Callithrix jacchus: one gene and its partners. The protein of the gene in region 1 interacts with the protein of each later gene in a biochemical or structural test. Links are inferred from orthologs where the notes say so. Each region holds a gene or a part of one and is shown in the gene's direction. Other genes may lie near its edges. The genes, in order: NRIP1, THRA and NR5A1.

Evidence for each region.
Region 2: the proteins of NRIP1 (region 1) and THRA form a complex in vitro, tested with the Homo sapiens proteins (4 studies listed by BioGRID). The link is inferred for Callithrix jacchus from reciprocal best matches to the Homo sapiens genes NRIP1 and THRA.
Region 3: the proteins of NRIP1 (region 1) and NR5A1 form a complex in vitro, tested with the Homo sapiens proteins (2 studies listed by BioGRID). The link is inferred for Callithrix jacchus from reciprocal best matches to the Homo sapiens genes NRIP1 and NR5A1.

Annotation. Positions count from the first base shown.
Region 1 is NC_133522.1:22,076,503-22,082,930, reverse strand, and holds the start of NRIP1 (nuclear receptor-interacting protein 1), read left to right. Parts: upstream 1-2,589; 5' UTR 2,590-2,790; exon of another isoform or gene 2,791-2,934; intron 2,935-3,511; exon of another isoform or gene 3,512-3,763; intron 3,764-6,428. UniProt on the Homo sapiens protein: Modulates transcriptional activation by steroid receptors such as NR3C1, NR3C2 and ESR1. Also modulates transcriptional repression by nuclear hormone receptors.
Region 2 is NC_133506.1:71,669,919-71,676,296, forward strand, and holds the start of THRA (thyroid hormone receptor alpha), read left to right. Parts: upstream 1-2,412; 5' UTR 2,413-2,544; intron 2,545-6,378.
Region 3 is NC_133502.1:173,119,809-173,126,448, reverse strand, and holds the start of NR5A1 (steroidogenic factor 1), read left to right. Parts: upstream 1-2,642; 5' UTR 2,643-3,096; exon of another isoform or gene 3,097-3,114; intron 3,115-5,236; exon of another isoform or gene 5,237-5,811; intron 5,812-6,333; exon of another isoform or gene 6,334-6,458; intron 6,459-6,594; 5' UTR 6,595-6,609; coding exon 6,610-6,640. UniProt on the Homo sapiens protein: Transcriptional activator. Essential for sexual differentiation and formation of the primary steroidogenic tissues. Binds to the Ad4 site found in the promoter region of steroidogenic P450 genes such as CYP11A, CYP11B and CYP21B.

The DNA of each region.
Region 1 (6,428 bases):
TACTTCTAAATGCATATTTTTGTTTTCTCACACCTGTCTACAGTTAAACAGTCTATGTCTTTTCCTGAGAACCCCTTTTCCCACTTTGCTTACTTGGCTAATTCTTTTAACCTTTTCATAGCCAATGGAAGCATTATTTTCTCAGCAAAATGTTCTCTGAACTCCCTTACATCACAGCCAGGACCCCAAGAGAAAGACATATTCTGTCCTCTGGAATATGATGGTATGTTGGCCAATATCTACTGAATGTCTACATGTTTACTGGGCATGGGGACAGGTAGCTGTAAGTCCCCAAATGTGAACGAGAGGGATGTGGACCCTGTGCCTATACTGCTTGCATTCTACAGTGGAATACAGACAAGCAAATACCCACTCACAAAATGGTTTCAAAAAATGCTATACAGGAGAGATTTAGAGAACACACCAAAGGCATACCCCTCCAAGGCTACATCTTTGTGGTAGATAGGCCTACTGAGACTGAACTATAAGCATGTGATCCCACAGGAACCCTGGGCGTAAAACAATAATTAGGCGTTTGAGTATATAAACCGAACAGCGTTGTTTTCACATCGCAAATGGTTCAAATGAGAATTGACTTCGGAGTACAAATTACCAAATAGACATTCTTATATTACATATATGCCCTAGTATCCTTGCAATGACTCTGTTACCCGGGAAATTTAGGTATTGATTTATTTAAAAAAAAAAAAAAAAAAGACAACAAAACAAAATAGTCTCCACATAATTAGCATGATTAAGTGAAAATGAATTCCACAAGAGGTGTGCAATTTACTTAACACCCATGCACTATCAAAAGAGTTCAGGATTTCAAGGACTGGGTTTCTGTGTGATTGAGAAAACATAATAATAATAAGTGAGGCGCTTTGGGCAGTCATCTAACATACAGCAGTGGACTTTTTAACACCAGTGCTGGAGGGCTGGAAAATTCTCGGCTTGTTGGGCAACCGCTGTGGTTCAAAACCTGGTTAAGAAGTAAGAAGAATGCATTTAAAAGCTACACTTGAGTAGTCCAAATATCTTTCCTAAAGTCTATGCACTAACGTGTGTTGCACCTTACTCCTCGGTGAGCCCATCAGTCCCTCACCCAGAACCTATTAAGTTTACTTTAGACAGAATTGTGACAAGTGAAGCTATCTGGATTCCCAGTCCGCACTAGAATGGAAGTTACCAATCAGAAGATGAGAAGAATGTTAGTGGCAGCTATGCTGGTAACAGCAAGGACAACAGATTTTTAGTTAGTGAAGGGGGAGAGAGAGAAATTACAAAAGGCAGAGATAATCACTAAGTCATAGCATCCTAGAGTCCTTCTGTGTAAAGACTAATAGCTTTTGTACCTCCTGGGAGCATCCCTAACACCTAGGAAGAATATAGAATAGGAACTTGACGTATTTCCTGAATCCACTACAACCTACTACATAATCACTTTTAATAAAATTGACATTGAATTGTCAAGAAAATGCTAAATGACGTTCAATAAACTGCTTAAGAGAAACATTTGAAAGACAATACAGAAAAATCTTTGTATAATGGTTAAAAATAATTTTCACAAAAAAAGTTTGACTCCCACTAAGGGGCCAAGCTCCAATTATGCTGGTCATCATTGAATTGGAATGGTTTGCTTTGTATCAGTTCTGAATAAATGATGCACTAAAGAACAGCAGCCTTTACTAAGTTGCCTAGAGCAGATTTTGCACTGTGGTATATGCAAATAATATGCTATTATATGAGGTTTAACTATATAAAATGGCAACAGATTGCATCGTTGAATCACTGGGGTGATGTAAAATAATTGTTTTAATATGTGCCATTGCCACTAAGCAAAACATTGGAACCATGTGCCCGGCACTGTGCTAGATGCTGAATTTATTAAGCATTAATTTGAAAATTTGCTTTCACTTTCAAGACTATGACAGTATTTTAAAACTCGTATTCACATTTTTAAAGGCTAAGTGAAATTTGAAATACACAATACAGCCGTTACATAACAGGCATAAGAATACAGTTTTATGACTTGGATAGTTTTTGTTTTTTAAGCGCATTAGCAACTCCATTTCCAAATGCTATCAAATTCTTCAGGATATGAAAGCCTACATATAAGAATGGAGTGCCTCAGCGGCTCATTTGCCTTATGTAATAAGTGCTTTAACACAGGCATGCCATTTCAGAATTTCGGATGAGACTACGCTGTACTTTTAGCTTTTTTGTGTCAAGCAAAAACAATTTCAGCAACAACACTCCTTTCCCCTGGTAAATTTTTTCATGCTTATTACTAAATGCTAGATGCTCAAGTCACAAAGAAACCTGACATCTGGGGAGGTGTTGAGGGGGTGTTAATAGTTCTCGTGAGATGCTTGGTTGGGGAGCGTTGAGGATACGATTTTTAAAACAGCAAATACACGGAGAAGGGGAAATTATGGTTTCGTATAACTCTCTCCTCCCTCCACTCTCTCGTTTCACCAATCTGTAGCCCCCCCAATTTAGAGGCGGGTTCAGCGAGATTAGGCTGCAGGAAACCGAAAGGCTCCACCGCGCTGCCGCCCCGGCCTCGTGATGTAATTGTCATTTCTTATTCGGAGACTGAACCGGGGAGAGCTGCCGAAGTAGCAGCCCTGCTCCTTTGCCTTGTCTCGTTGGGTCAGATCCTGCCCGGGGATGATGTAGTTTGGCTGACAGACTCCGCCGGAGACTTCGCAGTGACAAAGCAGCCGAGGATTAACCCTGCTCCTGGGTCCTACGTCTGTCCAGGGAGCTGAGCGGGGCGCTCCTCAGGTCTTCTTCCTAGTTTTCCTCCCGGAGTCGCGCCACATTGAGTGCTGCTGGGTGCCTACTACGTGCTGGGCGTGGGGTCAAAGTGACCCAGAGTTCGCGCCCGTGCCCCCCGAGATTAAAGCAGGACACACAGATGACAAGGAGGTGGAAATCGGGGGTGGGTGGGTGAGAGGGAGCCCAGGGAGCGCGTGTCGTGGGGTGAAGGGGAGGAGGTAGACGCTTAAGGCGCCAGCACCCAGGCGGGGACCCTGGGGCGTCCGGCTCCCGGGCTGTGCCCAGGCGGGAGCGATCGGCCTGGGTCCCGAGAGCGCTTCCCCGAGTGCCCGGGAGGAGCTGTCCAGGCGCCTGCGGCGGTCGGGGGCCGCTGGACAGAGCTGGGAGCCCGGGGAACGTCCCCTCTCCCGGGGACGCGGTCCTCTCGCCGCCCCGGGGCCCCGCAGCCCCGTCTGGGCCACCCCCGAGCAGGCGAGGAGGAAAACCACGAACCAGAGGGGGCTTCCCGACTCCTGAGAGCGGCCCGCATCCGCGCGGCTTCCTCCCGACCGGGTGACAATGGGAGGGAGGGGGAGAAAAGGGTTAAGAAACTTGGCTGAAGAGCTGAATGGCGTGGGGCGGCGAGGGGAGGGACTGGGCCGCGGCGGACTCGGCGGCGGAGGGAGGAGCGCGGCTGCGGGCGGGCGGCGAGCGAGGCGCTCAAAGTCAGCCTCGCAGACATTGCAGCAGAGCCCCGAACTCGGGAGGCGGCGGCGGAGGAGGTGGAGGAGGCGCGGCGAGGCGCAGGGACGACCCGGCCCCACGCCCGCCCGCCACCCGCGCGCGCCCGTCCGCCCGTGGCCTCGCGTCCGCCGCTGCGCAGGGAGCGCCGCTGGTCGGAGGGAAGAGCTCGCCGGGGCGCCGGGCCAGGACGGGGCGGCGGGCGCCTTCGCGGACCGAGCCTGACGGAGCCGGAGGCTGGGAGCCGCGGCGGCCTCGGGTGAGTGGCGGCCGCGGCCGGGGCGCTCGGAGGAGCCCGCTCTGGCCCCGCCGGAAACGGCCGGGAGTGCGGCCCGCGGAGGCGCTGGCTGGGCGGGCAGGGCCGCGGGGGCGTCGGGGCGGCGGGGAGGGTGCGTTTCCGGGGAAATCCTGCCTCCGCTCCCCGGGATCTCGCGGGGGGCCGGGGCGGCGGGGCGGCAAGTTGTGGAGTGGCCCCGGGGCTGCCCGCCAGTCCGTGCCAGTGCTGGGCGAGGGGGCGGCCGCCGCGTGGCCCCTGCGCGGGAGCTCGCGGGGCCGGATCGGGGTTGCGCCCGGCTCGCCTGCCCTCTCGGCCCCGAGCCCCGGGCACCGCTCGCCGCGTCGCTCTCGGTCCTGCTGTCCAGCCGGATCCGGGGCGGCGCCTTTCGCCCGGGTGCTTCCCTGCTCGGTGCTCGCGGGATACCCGGCTGGGAAAGTGAATGGGAACCGGGACTGCTCGTCCGGCCCCCACCCGACCCCAGGCCCGCTCTGCCCGCACTCGTTGTCCCCTCCTGAGAGCGAGGCTCACGGACCCGAGGCCTCAGCCACCGTTTTACCCGGAGCCGGGGGCCGGCTCCCATTTAGGCTGAGCCCTGTGGAAGTCCGGGGAGGCTGCCTTTTCTCCCTTCTTCTGTGTCCACGTTACCGCTATTGAATATTGTTTTACGAAGGTTCCCATGGTCATCTTCTGCACACCCTCCCAGCCCTTCCAAAGTAGTTTCCCAGTTTTAATCAGGAGTTGGTGTTCAGTCTGAAGGAACAAAGGAATCAACTGTGTCTTAGAGGCGGACAGGCTGGAGTCTGTGACACATGTTGATCTCTGAAGCATTCCAGGAGTTGCTACCTTTTAGCACGTCAGTAATTGGGTTCTGAAGGTAGTAAAAGAAGAAAGGAATGATAAGCACTTTTTCGTTTTAAAAATATTCTGTAATGGCACATTTTACTTCGGGGGGAAAAAGAAGACGTTTTTAGGTACAAGGATTTTTAAGAACTCAATTGGTGGAACTGAGTTAGAGTTTGTCTCTGGTATTGTAAATGATTACATGTGGGATTGTGAAGGAAATTGTGTCCTTAGAGGCAGAGAAGCCATCTGTAGGTGTCCACAGTAAAAATGGTTGTCGGGTTATATATGATGAATGCTCTTTCTATTTCTTGGGGGAATTTGTGAAGCAAGGGGCTTCGGTAATTCATTCTTTAAAGTTATGAATTGCATTGAACCTGCTTATTAGTGAGTCATAGGTTTAGTAAGTGGGTGGCATTATTCTATGTTTAATCATCAGTTTTCCACCTTTGTTGAAGAGATAGTGAAATAATAGACTTTTTAAACAAATGGCGCTTCATCTGCCTGGCCCCTAAGTGTCGGTTGCCGCCTGGAGTATGTTGAAATGTTTTTTAACTTCCAAGTAAGTGAGTTGCTCTGGTTTTGCCCAGCAGTTCGGTATCGTCGGTAGGGTTTATCTGGTTCAGGGAGCAGTAGCTTCATCACTTATAGTAACTTTTCTTTGCCTGGGTATAGTTCCTAGAAACAAAGAAGGAGAATCAATTAGTGGAGCAGATACTGCCCTGCAGGTCATAGGACTGGTTGCTCTATCTAGTCTGTTTCATTAGCTGGTGGAAAAGACCTCTTTCCAAACTTACCCTTAAAAGTGCCCTAGGAGTGTGAGTAAAATATACATCAAAACATAAGAAAAAAAAAATGACTGTTTGTTGTTGATTTTATTCATATGAATTAGTTGAAAATCAGATTTAATGCCTGTTTTGCGTGCTTTTCCAAACTCTGCAGAACTTGGATTTTGCGAATTTTAACATCCTAAAATATTGTTAACTTTGCAGTAATGTGTGAAGAGACCAAAGGCTTTTCTGACTCTTGCAGTTATAAGTGCAAAACATCATGATAAAAAATAACCTATACCACCACCTAGAGTCTGTTTGTTAGTTTATTGCTCATGAAGTTTGCTTAAATTGACATGTCTGTTACAGTTCTGATATAGTCGAAAATGATTAAGAAGTGCTGGCTTTCAAAAGGCCATCCAAGAGAACAATTATTTAAGTAATAAATAGCAAGAGCCAGTTTAAATTTTTCATGCCACCTTTGGAATTGAAAATTATGACATATCAAGTTGAGTGGGCTATTCTCCAAGATGTTAATTCAAAATATTTTAAAACGGAGTACTCGGCTTGTGCACCAAGGCAGTTCTGATTCCTTAACAACTTCTGTGATGTTATCAGAGATTCAAGAAATCTTCCAAATCAGATGCCGTTAGAACTTTTTAAAGTCCGAATGAAACAAAAGCAAAAATATAGGAAAGCATTACAATTACAGAAATTCTGGCAATTCAGAAGTTAAGAGGATGCAGCCTATGGCAGAGTTGTGGTTCAGAGATGTGAAAAGTAAAATCAATGTGAATTAAAGTGATAATCTGTTTTGCTGGTAGTCTGTATGTGGTAAAGCAGTCTATTAAATGAGACACCTTAGGGAGGCAGCTTTGTTGCCATGTGGCTTATCACATTGTCCATGGAGGAAGTAATGTTCTTCCTTTAAGTGGTGTAGCCTGAGAGAAAGATGGCCTCCAAGATCTTTAATTAAATACCAGTTGAACAGAAAGAACTAGAGCACTGTATTAATTCTGTCAAACATCACTATTTTA
Region 2 (6,378 bases), on another chromosome or scaffold:
ATTAGCTGGCATGGTGGCACATGCCTGTAGTCCCAGCTACAGGGACGCTGAGGCGGGAGAATCGCTTGAACCTGGGAGGCGAAGGTTGCAGTGAACCAAGATCACAGCATTGCACTCCAGCCTGGGCAACAAGAGAAAAACTCCATCTCAAAAAAAAAAAAAAAAAAAAAAGGAGTGGGGGAGAAGATGGAAATGGTAAACCCTTGTCTTTGAGTGCCTTACTCTGCCCTTCAGGAAAAAAAAAGTGAATCAGAAGGCACATCATTTTATATGGCTTTGGATCTAGGATTTCAGAAAGTCTTCCCCCACACAATATTATAGGGCCTTGCATCAAAGAGAGATATGGTGGGGAAAGCCAGGATGGAAGGGAGACAAAACCACAGCACCTTCCTCCTCCGCCTCTGGACTCCATCACTCCAGCCCCAATCCAGATGACTGCTGGCCCTCCCCACTGCCTCCTAGTTCTGTCTTTGTGATGCAGAGTATAAATGTATCTCATGCATCAGGATTCCCTCCCAGCTCCTTAAGCAGCCCAATCCCAACGGACTAGTTCCACACAGGGTAGAGCACAGACCCCAAGCACTATACACTGTAGCCGTGCACCCCAGGGTTTCGGCCAAACCTGATCACCGAGGAGGTGGCACCCACCGGCAGGCAGCCACCCTCAGTGCACCTCATTCTGCTCACTGCACTGACTCTGCACGCTGCAGCCTCCTGCCCCACACTGCAGCTGTTGCTTGTCTCCCGTGAGCCCAGACTGAACACAGGTTCGCTTACCTCGTGGAGACACTGCACGCTGCTGCCTCAACTCCCCCTTCTAGCTGCCACTGCACCTCACAGGCTCCCTTCACCTATGGCAATGCCCTCAACACCACCGCTGCACTCTGCATGCCATAGATTTCATCCCAGCTGCTTTTCTCATCTCCATGGTTCCAGGGACCCCCAGAGAGGTACCCTCCCCTCCGCCAAGCATTACAAACTCCAGTATCCCCTGTGAAAGAAGTGGCTCCAACAGCACTGAGGATGCAGGAGGCTGAGACTGAGACATGAGCAAGGGCAGCCCAGCTTGGATAAGCTGTGGGTCAGGATCCCACACTCGGCAAGTGATTCTATCCAGTATAACCTGGGCCAGTAGCTGAGCAGCTCCCCCTGACACACACGCTCACACACAAACACACACCCCTCTCCAAGAGCAGACTGTGTAGCAGGGCCCCACCCTGAGAGCCGTGGGAAGGCTGTGGCCCCCACTGGTAAAACTGGGCTAATGACAGCAGGGGAACCGGCGGGGCCAGGGGCGTGCTGGGGTAATTAGGGCTTGGCCTGGAACTGGGAGATCCCGAGATGAAAGGGGCTCTGGCGTCACTGGGTTGGTTTTATGTCCATGAATTGCAGATGCGTGTGTGTGTGTGTGTTGTGTGTGTGTGTGTTGCGTGTGTGTGTATGTGTGCTGGGGGTGGGGCTGGCACAGTGGAAACCTCTCCTTTGGGTTGGATTAGGGGGTCCATTTGTATGCAGCCCACCGGCTTCCTTAGATTGACTCTGGTACCATTTGGATTTTGGTGGGAGCAAACACGGGGGGAAATACCACCACCCAGGAGCTAGGAATTGAGGGGGTATGGCAAATCTTGTCCCCTCCCCGAGGTGAGGAGAGGGAGCAGATTGTTGGGGAAATGGCTGGTGACAGAGAATAGAAAGAGCCTATATGGAGAAGGGTGATGTTGGAAAGGGGAGGCAGTGGATCGGTATCGATGTTAGAAATGAGAGGGGAGGGAGGTACTGAGCCCACACAAGGATTAAAAACACAGGATGATTGAAGTTAAAAGGACGTCAGGGGTGATCTGCCCAGCCTTCGCGGCTGAAGCTTGAGGAAGCTCTGCCCCGACAGCAGTGGTGGTTTGTCAAGGTCACACAGTGAGTTACTGGCGGAGAAGGGACCCGAACTCCTAAACAAACTCTACACCTGCAAGCGTTTGGTGTTTAGGCTTTCTCCTCATGTGTAAGGTGCAGGCGGCTCCTCGGTACTTTCTTCCCCACCCCATGGTGCAAACCCGAAAACCCCCAATTCTCCCGGCAAGCAAAGGCTATTTTTTAATGACATCTCTTCCAAAATATGTCACCAAGTACCCACTCCTGCGGGAGCCGCCCGGCGGGGGAGGGTGAGTCCGAGCGGGGCGGGGCAGGGGCGGCCGAGGGGCTGCCGGGCCGCTGGCGGGGGTCCCGGGGCGCGGCAGGGGGCGGGGGGCGGGGGCGGGCGGTGGCGAGGCGGCCTGCAGGGAGCAGCCGCGAGCCGGCCGGGCGCGCGGAGCCCGAGCCCCAGCCGGAGCGGGGCGGGGGAGGGAGGAGCCAGAGCGGCCGCCGCCTCTGCCGGAGGAGCCGCGGGGCCGCCACACTCGCCCCCCGCCCCCCCCCCGCGTTCACTCGCACTCACACCCGGGCGCAGGAGGCGGGCGGCCCGGGCCCCACCGGCCCCCCATGGACGCCCACGGCACTGGGCGCTGAGACCCCCGCGTCGCTGCCCAGCCCGGTCCAGCGCGCCACGCCGAGGTAAGGAGGAGGGAGCGAGGGGGCATTAATATGCAAATGCCTCGCGATTGATTATGCAAAGCCGCGGGGCTCCGTGGCCAGCTCCCAGGCGGGCCAGGGTCGCCCAGGGCGTACCCGCTGTCAGCCTCAGCCTTTCCCGGCGCCCCAGTGACCCTGTCACGAGCCCAGGAGCTTGCAGCTGACGCCCTGGGGAAGGGAGGTGTTGCTTGGAGGTCGGTGGGCCCGGGGGTTTGCAGGCGGAGATGGCGTCCGGGCCTCCCCCTCGACGTCCCGCCCGGCCTCTGTCCGGCCAGCCTGCTGCGCATTCCCGGGCCAAGCCCCGTTGCCGGCCGCCGGAGCTCCCCCGCCCGCCGCTCCGCGGTTTGTTTACGGTGCGTCGGAGGCCTGCCCCCCCCAGCCCCCACCCCTAGCCTTTGAGGCCGAGTAGCCTTTGCAAAGCTGCCTCCAGCTGCGGAGGGCAGTATGAGTGCGGTGGCGGGGGTGGGCTTGCATGGGTCCAGGGAGAGGGAAGTTACCCCCCTTCACCCGCCTTCCAGTGGAGCATGGCTGTCTGGTTGCAACACTCTAATTGCAAAAACGCTGCTGCTGGGGGGAATGTGTGTGTGGAGGGGGTGCACTTGATGGTGCCTAGATGATTAGGAGAGTTGCTGGCTGGGGAGGAGAGGGAGAAATGGACCTGTGTGTGTGTACCCCACCTTTTTCCCTCCCCTTGCAACGTGTCTCTGGTTCCCCTTCTCCATCTGGGGCCCTCCCTTGCCCAGCGTGAAAGAAAGGCCTGGGGGGATGACAGGGGCAATTGAAAGAGCCACCGGTCCAGAGGTGGGGGTGGGGGACACAGAAGGAAAGCCAGTGAGATGGGAGCCTGCCCCTCAGTGCTGGCTTCATCTCCAAGAGGGGGAGGGGATGAAGGGGGCTGTTGTCCAAGATGGGGGGAAAGCAAAAGTGACACGCAGACACAGAGATATGTCCACACAGACAGCCACAGGCATACCCAGGGACACCCAGGCGGACTCAAGGACAGGAGCTGCTGGACACACCCACATGGGGACAAGGGAAGAGGCAGGCTGCTGCTGCACCCTGGAGCTCAGGGGGTGGGACATACCCACGGGAGACCAAAAGCATGGAGACCGACCCATGGCACATACCTACGCACAGGGTCACACGGAGAGGCTGTCACACACGGGCAAGGAGGAGTTGCTGTCACCCACACAGAAAAAGTCACTGTCACATGCATGCATGCACACAGAGCAATTGCACACAGCCGCACAATTACAAAAGACCCTGTCACTCACAGGCACACACGTGCTCACATAAGCCCAGTCACACAGTCATCATTGCTTGCCGTGACAGTAGCTGTCACTCAGTCAGATGCAAACACAGTTATACATCAACACATGTATACACAACTTAGCAACAAGTATTTTCCTGGACTCTTACTGTGGAGCTCTGAGGTTCTGTAGACAAGAAAACCCTTGCTCCCAAGAAAATTAAATTTGGCTGTATGAAAAGGTGTTGCTGCGTAATGGTGCAAAGCATGCATTCCCGATGACATGTTTTTGGTCTCTGTTGCTTGACATACCAACCCTACTAGACAGTGAGCTCTTGGAGACCTGGGAGAATCATTTGAAGAGCTCCGGATCGCACCCAGAGCCTAGCACAATGGCTGCTTTGTAACTACTTGTTAGTTGATTGACTGTGGAACCTGCGGACACAGGTGCACTCATTTGCACATGGGCCCCTGAACTCAGGTACAGAATGAGTTCACAGGGCCCAGGTCCACACAAACAGTCGTGTCCACATAATTCCAGATGCACACAACTGTAGCCTGTGCAGCCAAGCACACACCTAGATGCACACAATCACAGACTTTTCCCTTTCAGCTTCTTCCTGCCTTCTTCCTCTAGGCCCAGCCACTCTGTGGGAATGGGCTTTTTTTTTACTTTTATTTTCTTTTGGAGGGTCAGAGAAACAAGAGCAAAGACGGAGGGTGCAGGGGGGTTCCAGAAGGCCGAGTATGGGGCTCAGAGCATGTCCAGGGACTTCTAGAAGCTGGGATTCTCTTGACTTCTGGGTGAGGGGAGAGCTGCACTCATCCCGAAAAGCTCAGGGATATCAAACTGCCCATGCTCTGAGTCATTTGCCCGGGCCTTTCCTGGGAACACTCAGTCACCCCCAGCTGAGTTCCTGCATCCCACCTTGAGTCTGGCCGCCCCTCTTGTCACCTGGACCCTGCTACCCAAACTTGGAAGCTTTCCTTAAGAGGCCATCGGCTGGCGACTGTCTGCATGAGTGATGTGTATTTTTGACTTGGAATTTCTCTCTAACTCTCTCTTTCTGTTGCTCTGTCTTGCAGTGTCTGATTCTCTCTCTCTCTCTCTCTTTCTCTCTCCCCTTCTCTGCCAGTCTGTAACTCTCTCTCATCCTGTCGCTACCCCTGTCTACCCCTGTCCTTGTCTCAGAGCTGGGGACTGGCAGTGATGTTCTTCATACTTTTCCCGTTGTTAATACCCAATCTCCGCCCCTCTGCCCCCCCACCCCCCCACCCGCTACACCAGGCAGCCTCTGGGGTCAGCTTAAGGTTGGTGTGGGGGGCCAGGGGGGTGGGCTCAGCTGGCTGCTCAGGACTTCCTGCACTTCCTTACTGCTGCAGCTGTGGCCAGCAAGTTTTAGGGACTGGGAATGGGGAAAGGGAGGGGGGACAGCCACTGCCCATGCTGCCCCTCGGGCAGCCAGACCAGTTCTGTGGGCACCCTCAGGATGCAGGCTGCAGCCAGCTAGCAGCTCCTAAACAAGTCAGTGACAAGGCTCCCCAGACACTGGCCCAAGCTGGAAAAGAACCACCCCATGGGCAGTGGCAGGAGCTGGCAGGACCCTCCTGAGTTGGGTCCGTGGCAGGGCTCACAGTGACCTTTCTCCACACCCCTGGCAGCTGAGGCGCACCTCAGAGATGCCCAACAGCTGTGTCCTCTTTTCCCAGCCTCAGGGCCTGGTTCTGAGGGCACAGCTGCCCAGACTAAGTGTGGGCTGAGCGAGGCCCTCCCACCCATGAGTGCAGGTTCCAGCCTAGAAGGGGAACCTCTTCCGGAGAGGGCATTTGACGAGGAGGAACTCGGGTAGGAGGCACAGGGCCCGGGGGCACCAAGCACTTCTGGCCATGCTCCCTCTAGCCTTGGCCTATTTGGAGGTGGAGGCACTGACAGAGCCCTCGGGGCAAAGACCAAAGCTTGGTCTCAGGGAACACGTCGCTGGATTAAAGAACAAGGCATTATCCCTCAAGCAGGTGATATGCCATCACAGTTAGGAATAGGGATGATGATGGTGATGATGATGGAATGCTTGGGTCTGAATCCCAGCTCTCACTCACTGGATGTGTGACTTTGAGCAAGACATTTAACTTCCCCGTTGCCTTATCTGTAAATTGGGGATGATCATGTCTACCTCATTTAGCTTTTTTGAGGAAAAATGCTTTAAAAAGTGCCTAGTTAATAACAAACTGTATTGTGTGAGCTGTTGTGATGGATGAAGAAAGCTGTGGGCCTGAGGCCGGGTGTGGTGACTCATGGCTATAATCCCAGTACTGTTAGAGGCCAAGATGGGCAGATCACAAGGTCAGGAGTTCAAGACCAGCCTGGCCAACATAGTGAAACCCCATCTCTACTAAAAAAAAAAAAAATTAGCTGGGTGTGGTGGCATGCACCTGTAGTCCCAGCTACTCAGGAGGCTGAGGCCAGAGAATTGCCTGAACCTGGGAGGCGGAGATTGCAGTGAGCCAAGACCACACCATTGCACTCCAGCCTGGGTGACAGAGTGAGACTGTCTCAAAAAAAAAAAAAA
Region 3 (6,640 bases), on another chromosome or scaffold:
GTGGGTGCCTGTAATCCCAGCTTGGGAGTCTGAGACAGGAGAATTGCTTGAACCCGGGAAGTAGAGGTTGCAGTGAGCTGAAATTATACCACTGCACTCCAGCCCGGGTGACAGATTGAGACTCCATATCAAAAAAAAAAAAAAAAATAGTAGGGACACTAAAGCCAGGTGCTGTGGCTCACGCCTGTAATTCCAGCACTTTGGGAGGCCTAGGTGGGCGGATTGCTTGAGCCCAGGAGTTCAATACCAGCCTGGGCTGCATAACGAAACCCCATCTCTACAAAAGAAAATACAAAACTTAGCCAAGTGTGGTGGCACATGCTGTAGTCTCAGCTGTTCCGAAGACTGAAGCAGGAGGATCGCTTGAGCCCAGGAGGTTGAGACTGCAGTGAGCTGTGATACCACTGCACTCCAGCCTGAGTGACAGAGTGAGACCCTGTCTCAAAAGACATAAAACGAAATAGGGACACAAAAAAGAAGACTATTAAGATAAAACAAGGAGACTAGGTGCAACCATGTGCAAGAGAAGTATATCTTGTAAGAACTTTAGGTGAAAAGCATAATTACAAGGTCATACACATTGGGGAATAAGCTATATTTTATATTGCAGATGGAATATATTCCATCAGTTTTGACTGTGAAATTATAGAATTAATATTGAATTGATGATTATTATTATTTTTTGGAGACAGAGTCTGGAATGTAGTGCTAGACTACAGGCACATGCCAACACACCTGGTTAATTTTCATATTTTTAGTAGAGATGGCGTTTCACCATGTTGGCCAGGATGGTCTCGATCTCTTGACCTTGTGATCTGCCCACCTTGGCCTCCCAAAGTGCTGGGATTATAGGTATAAGCCACTGCGTTCGGCCATATTAATTATTAAAACTCTATTGCCCAGGCTAGAGTGCAGTGGCACAATCATAGCTCACTACAGCTCAAACTCCTGGGTTCAAGCCATTCTCCTGACAGCCTCCCCAGTATCCAGGACTACAGGCTATCAGTATTATTGTTGTATATTCACACACAATTTTAAGTAGCATAATGAGGAAAACATACACCAAGTTTTACTTTATTTTATTCTTTTATTTGAGACAGAGTCTCACTCTGTCACCCAGGCTGGACTGCAGTGGCATGATCTTGGCTCACTGCAACCTCTGCCTCCCAGGTTCAAGTGATTCTCCCACCTCAGCCTCCCAAGTAGCTGGGACTACAGGCATGAGCTCAACTAATTTTTGTATTTTTAGTAGCGATGGGGTTTCGTCATGTTGACCAGGCTGGTCTCGAACTCCTGACGTCAGGTGATCCACCCACCTTTGCCTCCCAAAGGGCTGGGATTACAGGCATGAGCCACAGCGCCTAGCTAGAAAACACACACTAGGTTTTAAATACAGTTGGCATTTCTACTCTTTCAGTGGCTTTCCATGGGGGAAAAAAAAAAAAAAAAAAAAAATATATATATATATATATATATATAGTTGGCTTCACTTATCCAGAAAAGCACCTCTTGTTCCAGATAAGTGAGGTGTTGGATGTGATTTGCTTATTTCCTCCAATGAAGGGGCATGTGGGGGGAAGGGTGGTTTTCACCAGTGACTGCCCCATAGTTGTCCTGTGCCCTTCCCCCATTCCCAAGATGAAAGGCAGAGAGGTCAATCCTCTGAGGACAGAGACTTCTCTTCCCTATGAGATCCCTGGTGCCCAGAACAGCACCTGACCCCTAAGTGCACGCTTAGCAAATGTGAGATGAACAGAGGAATGCAGGAAAGATCCAGTCACTGTGGGAGCAGCACAGGGCCCTATAGCCTGGGCCCTACAGGACCAGGAGAGAGTTCAGAGCCATCTGGGCCTGGAGATCGGACGGGACATCCCAGGCTGTAGACAGGCCTAGCCTTCTAGATAAAGGCCCTTCCCTCTACCCTGTCTTCTCCTGGCCTAGCTACACACTTGGTTCAGCCTGGGGCCACCCTTGCCACCACTTGGCCCAGAGGCGTCCTCCGCTCAGCCTCAGTTTTTCCAGCCACCGATGGGAACATCGGCAGCCCACAGCAGATGGGGACAGTCAGAGGCCACCGTGGCATGCATGCATGTGGTGTCCAGGCCGATCAGCTCCTCGACTTTTAGCCCCCCTCTTCCTCCATCTGATGGAAGAGTTAAAAGATAGGTCTTGGCAGCAGGCCACCTGGTCGAGTCGCCATGCCCTTGCCTCCCCACTGGCCTGTCCCGACTCCACTCCAGTGTCCGGGCTGGGCCAGACCATGCCCGGCCAGGCCCCAGGGAGGTAGCCATTCCCAAGGAGAGAGGCCAGGCGGCAGGCCGGATGGGGGAGCAGCCCATAAATCAGGCCCCACTCCCACTTGGTCGCTAACAAGCGCGGCTGCCTACCCGCCTCCGTGGGGTCCCTGCCTCTGGGCTCCCACAGCGGGCCTGGAACAGCCAGCTGGCCAAGGCCTCCGCAGTGCCTTGGCCTCCGCCCCCACCCTCGGCCCCCAGATAGATAGGGGTATTTTTTTTTTTCTATTAAGAGAAGAAGAAAAAAATAGACGTAAATGAAGAGAAACACCAACAAAGAAGGCGAGAGGCCTGCAGAGTCACGTGGGGGCAGAGACCAATTGGGCCTCCGGTGGCCCCCCCCAGGGCGGGGAGGAGGAGGAGGACGGACGGACAGGACCAGCCTGCCGTCCGGCTGCCGCCCGCCGTGGTGTGACGGGATTCCTGTGCGCCCACGGTCGCCACCGCCCCACCTGGGCTGCCGGAGCCTCCCCCTGGACCCCCGGTGCCCACTGCCACCCTCATCCGGCGTGAGAGCGCTGCTTCCGCTCCGTAAGTGAGGGCCTGGGCCCAGGCCTCTAATGGCCAGCCTCCTTCTGCAGTGCCTCCCTGAAGCTTGGGCCGGCCACCGCCTGCTCTGCTAAGTGACCGGTGCCCCTGCTCTGGGCAGGGAAGGGGCCAGGGGTCTCCCAGACTCACCCTCCCAGCATGCTACCCCCTTTTCTTCCTTGGGCTGCTGAGGGGAGGAGCCAGGCCTGTGACCGCAAGCCCCACGGAGGTCTGCTGGTGTCCGCTGTCGCTTGCCGGGCGTCCACCAGGCTGTGTGAGTCTGAGCCTAGAGGTCTGTGAGTGTGTCTGGAGGGCTCTGGGCCTGTCTTGGGGTTCTGTCCCTTGCCTGCGTGTCTGTGTTGTCTCTGTCGCTGTCTCTGAGTCTTGGTGTGTATCTGTGTGCCTGTCTCTGGCGTCCATCTGTCAGCCTGGGTTCTGTGACTGGGCCAGGTCTAGCTTTGCTTCCCTGGGTGGGTGCGTGAGGGGCTGGAACCTGGGGCTGTGGGAGTGGGTGCCTGGGTGCCTGGGTGCCTGGAGTGCGGAGGAGCCAGGAGCTCCTAGCCGGTGAGAGTGGAAACCTTGGGGGAGAGGGAGTTGGAGATAGAGGGAGAAGGGCCTCAGAGCCCAGCCCCCACCCACCCGGCCGGCTCAGGCCTGTGTGTCCAGCGCCAGGCTTCCCGGAGACTTCTATGGGCTCTACCTTAGAACAGCTGACTGGGGCACCCCAGCCCCTCATGCCCCCAACCCCCTTAGCTCCCGAGTCACTATCTGAGGGCTCCACTGTGTTGAGGAGCTGTTCAGAGGCAGCCGTGACCCCCACCTCCAGCTCCGGCAGATGCTCTTGTTTCTCAGCGGTTTGGGGGTGTGGGGTGCCATTTACAGGGTCTCTGGCTCTCTTTCCTCCCTCCTCCCCAAGATTCTTGCACTGAAACCGCAGTACTCCATCTGTAGGGCCAACACTTTCCACTTTATGCATGGAGAAACTGAGGCTCAGAGAGACCAAGTGACTTGCCCCAGCTTGCACAGCAAGTCTGCGGGTTCTGCTCCTCCACTGTGGGGTGGGCAAGCTGAGTGGGGTTTGCAGGGGTCTCTGGCTGCAGCTCACAGTCCCCAGGCCCAGCTGTGACCGAAGCCTGGGGCCTCGAGGCGGGCAGGGAGCCCATGGGGCCCTTTGGTGGGTTGCACCGCTGTCAGTGTAAAATTTCGGCATTTTCCTGCTGGAAGATCGCGGCTTTTTGGCCTCATGGTCCCCAAACTCTCTCCGGCCCCAGGTGCCGGCGGGGGCGGGGGCGGGATGCGAGCAAGCCGCTTCCTCTTGGGTCAGTTTCTCCAAATGAAAAACAGTGGCCCCGCCATGGTCCCCAGCCCAGAGCAACTGCTCGGCCCTTGGCCAGGGAACCCCTTTGTGCCCAAGGCCGCCCAGCGCTTTCTTCCCGCCCCACCCCGCTGTGAGAGCTCCGAGGGGAGCAGCGGGGTCCTGCCTCTGGGCTCCTGGGCCAGTAGAGGCTTCGGGCCCTCCCTAGGCCTCGGACATTCGTAAAATGGCATTTCAATCCACGATTCCCATTTCCAGCCCAGCGAACTGAGGCTGGCGAGGAGAAGGGGTTCGCCTCAGATCTCCCCAGCGGGGCGCCCCTGAGCGCTTCCACCAGGCCACGCGCTTGCTTCTCCCCAAGGCTTTGGTTGGTCCTCACGACCTGCCCTTAGCAAGGTAGAGCAGTCATCTACCCACTTCACAGATGCGGTCCCTGAAGACTCGAGGCGGGGAGAGTGCTACTGCAGGCTCGAGTGAGGAGACGTGGCGGGGCCAATAGGAGAATCTGGCTTCCACCCGTGAACTCGTGCCTCGGCCACGGTCGCTACTCGCTCTTACCCACTTCCACGCTGCACCGCGACCGGTCACCCTCGTGGCCCTCGCCACGACCCAGCTGGGTTCGCAGACAGGAGCTGCCTCCTCCCACCGCTGGCGGGTGGCCGGAGGCACCCGGCGCCCGACACCTGCCCAGATCGCGGGGCGCTCGGGCTCCGCCGCTCTCTGGTGGCTCTCGAGGTCCGGGGAGACCGGCTGGGGCTGGGGGGGGGGGGGGCGGGAGGATGAGGGCGAAGACTCGAGCCGGGCTGCGGAGGGGGTGCCGGGCGCGGGCCGGGCTCGGGGGGAGGACGCGGCCGGGCCTCCGCCCCCGGATACCGCACGCGCCGATATAGAGCGGCCGGCCCCCGGCCCGGGCGCGGCGGGTTGGCGCAGGGCGCGGTGGCGGCGGAGGGGCCCGGGTCCCAGGTGCGCCTCGGAGCGGCCCCGGCGGCGGCAGGGGTAGCGCAGGGAGACTGAAGGGGGGGGGAAGGCGGGAGGGGGGAGCCGAGGCCCCCCGCCGCCAGCCCCGCGCCCCCGCCTCCCCGCCCCCGGCCCGAGCGGCAGTCACCGCGGGCTGGCGGCGCTGCGCCCGGGTGCGGCTCCTCGCGGGCGGCGGCGGCGCGGCCGGGAGGTGCGGGCTCCGCGCGGGAGGGACGCGGGGCTCTGCTGGCAGGAGCGGCCAGGTGGGCGCCGGGCCGGCAGCAGCCGCCGTCGCGCCCCCTCTCGCGTCCGGGGCCCGGGCTCCGTGCGCTTCCCTCCTTGGGACTTCGGTCTCGGCCCGCGGTCGCTCCCCCGCCTCGGGCTCGACTTCCCGGAGCCCGCCGCCCACCGCCCGAAGTCTCCACGCCTCGCGACCCCTGCGCGTCTCCCCGCCCGACGTCCCGGTGGCGGCGGCAGCGCGGGCTGCGCCTCCCGTTGCCGTCGCTGCGGCGGCTTTGTCTTCCCCGGCGCGGGGGCCCCGGCGGCTCGGCGTTTCGGGCTCTCGGTCCCGGCGCCGTCGTTTTCCGCCTCCCGCGGCCCGGGTCCGCGTCCCGGGTCCGACCCCGCCGGGCCTCGCCTCGGCGCTCGGGCTCCTGGCCCGCCGGTTTCCGAGCGTCCCGCGTCCCAGACCCTCGGGCTGGCCGCCTCCGCCTCCAGGTTTTTTCTCCGTGTCTCTGTCTCGACGTCTCTGTCTCTGTGTCTCTGGCTCTGCGTCCGTCTCTCTTGGGTTTTCTCTTTGGGCCTCCGCTGTCTCTTGGAGTCTCTCTTGGATCTGATCCCCTACCCCTCGTTCTCTCTCTCTCTCTCTTTCTCTTTCTCTCTCTCTGTGTCTCTGCCTCTCTGTCTCTCTCCATCCCTCCCTGTGTCTCGTCCCCGCCGGGTTCTCTCCAGCTCGTGGTCTCTGTGTCTCTGGCACTTTGGGGCTGACCTGGTCTCTGCGCCCCGCGGCGTCGGTCCTCGTCTCTCGCCCGGGTTTCCTCCTATCTCTGTCTCTCCCGGACTCTGTCTCTGCTTCCTTCGTCTCTGTTGGGTTCCCAGAACACCCGGGCCGGGCGCCCCACATCTCCCGGGTCCCCTGGCGTCTTCCCCGCGGCTGAGCCCATCACCTTTTCTCAGAATCGGGGTTTTGTTCTCAGACAAACGAATCCGAATCGAAGCTCATCGAATCCGAAGGCCCCCGATCGGGCGCGGCGGGGCCCAAGCTGGAGGAGCCCTCCGGCGGGGCGGGAGCGCAGGGCCTGGGCGGGGAAGGCCGGCACGGGGGCCTGCACCGGGCCCACCCCAGGACGCTGCGCGGGCGCTCGGTGGGTGCGGGAGGCAGCGCCTGGGCGCAGAGAGGGGACCGCGCGACGGACCGGGGACAGCGGCTAGGGCGGCGGCCGCGGGTACCCCAGGCTGTGGGTCTGCACAGTCCCGCGCTGACCCGCTGTTCTTCCGCAGGCGGACGCCGCGGGCATGGACTATTCCTATGACGAGGACCTGGACG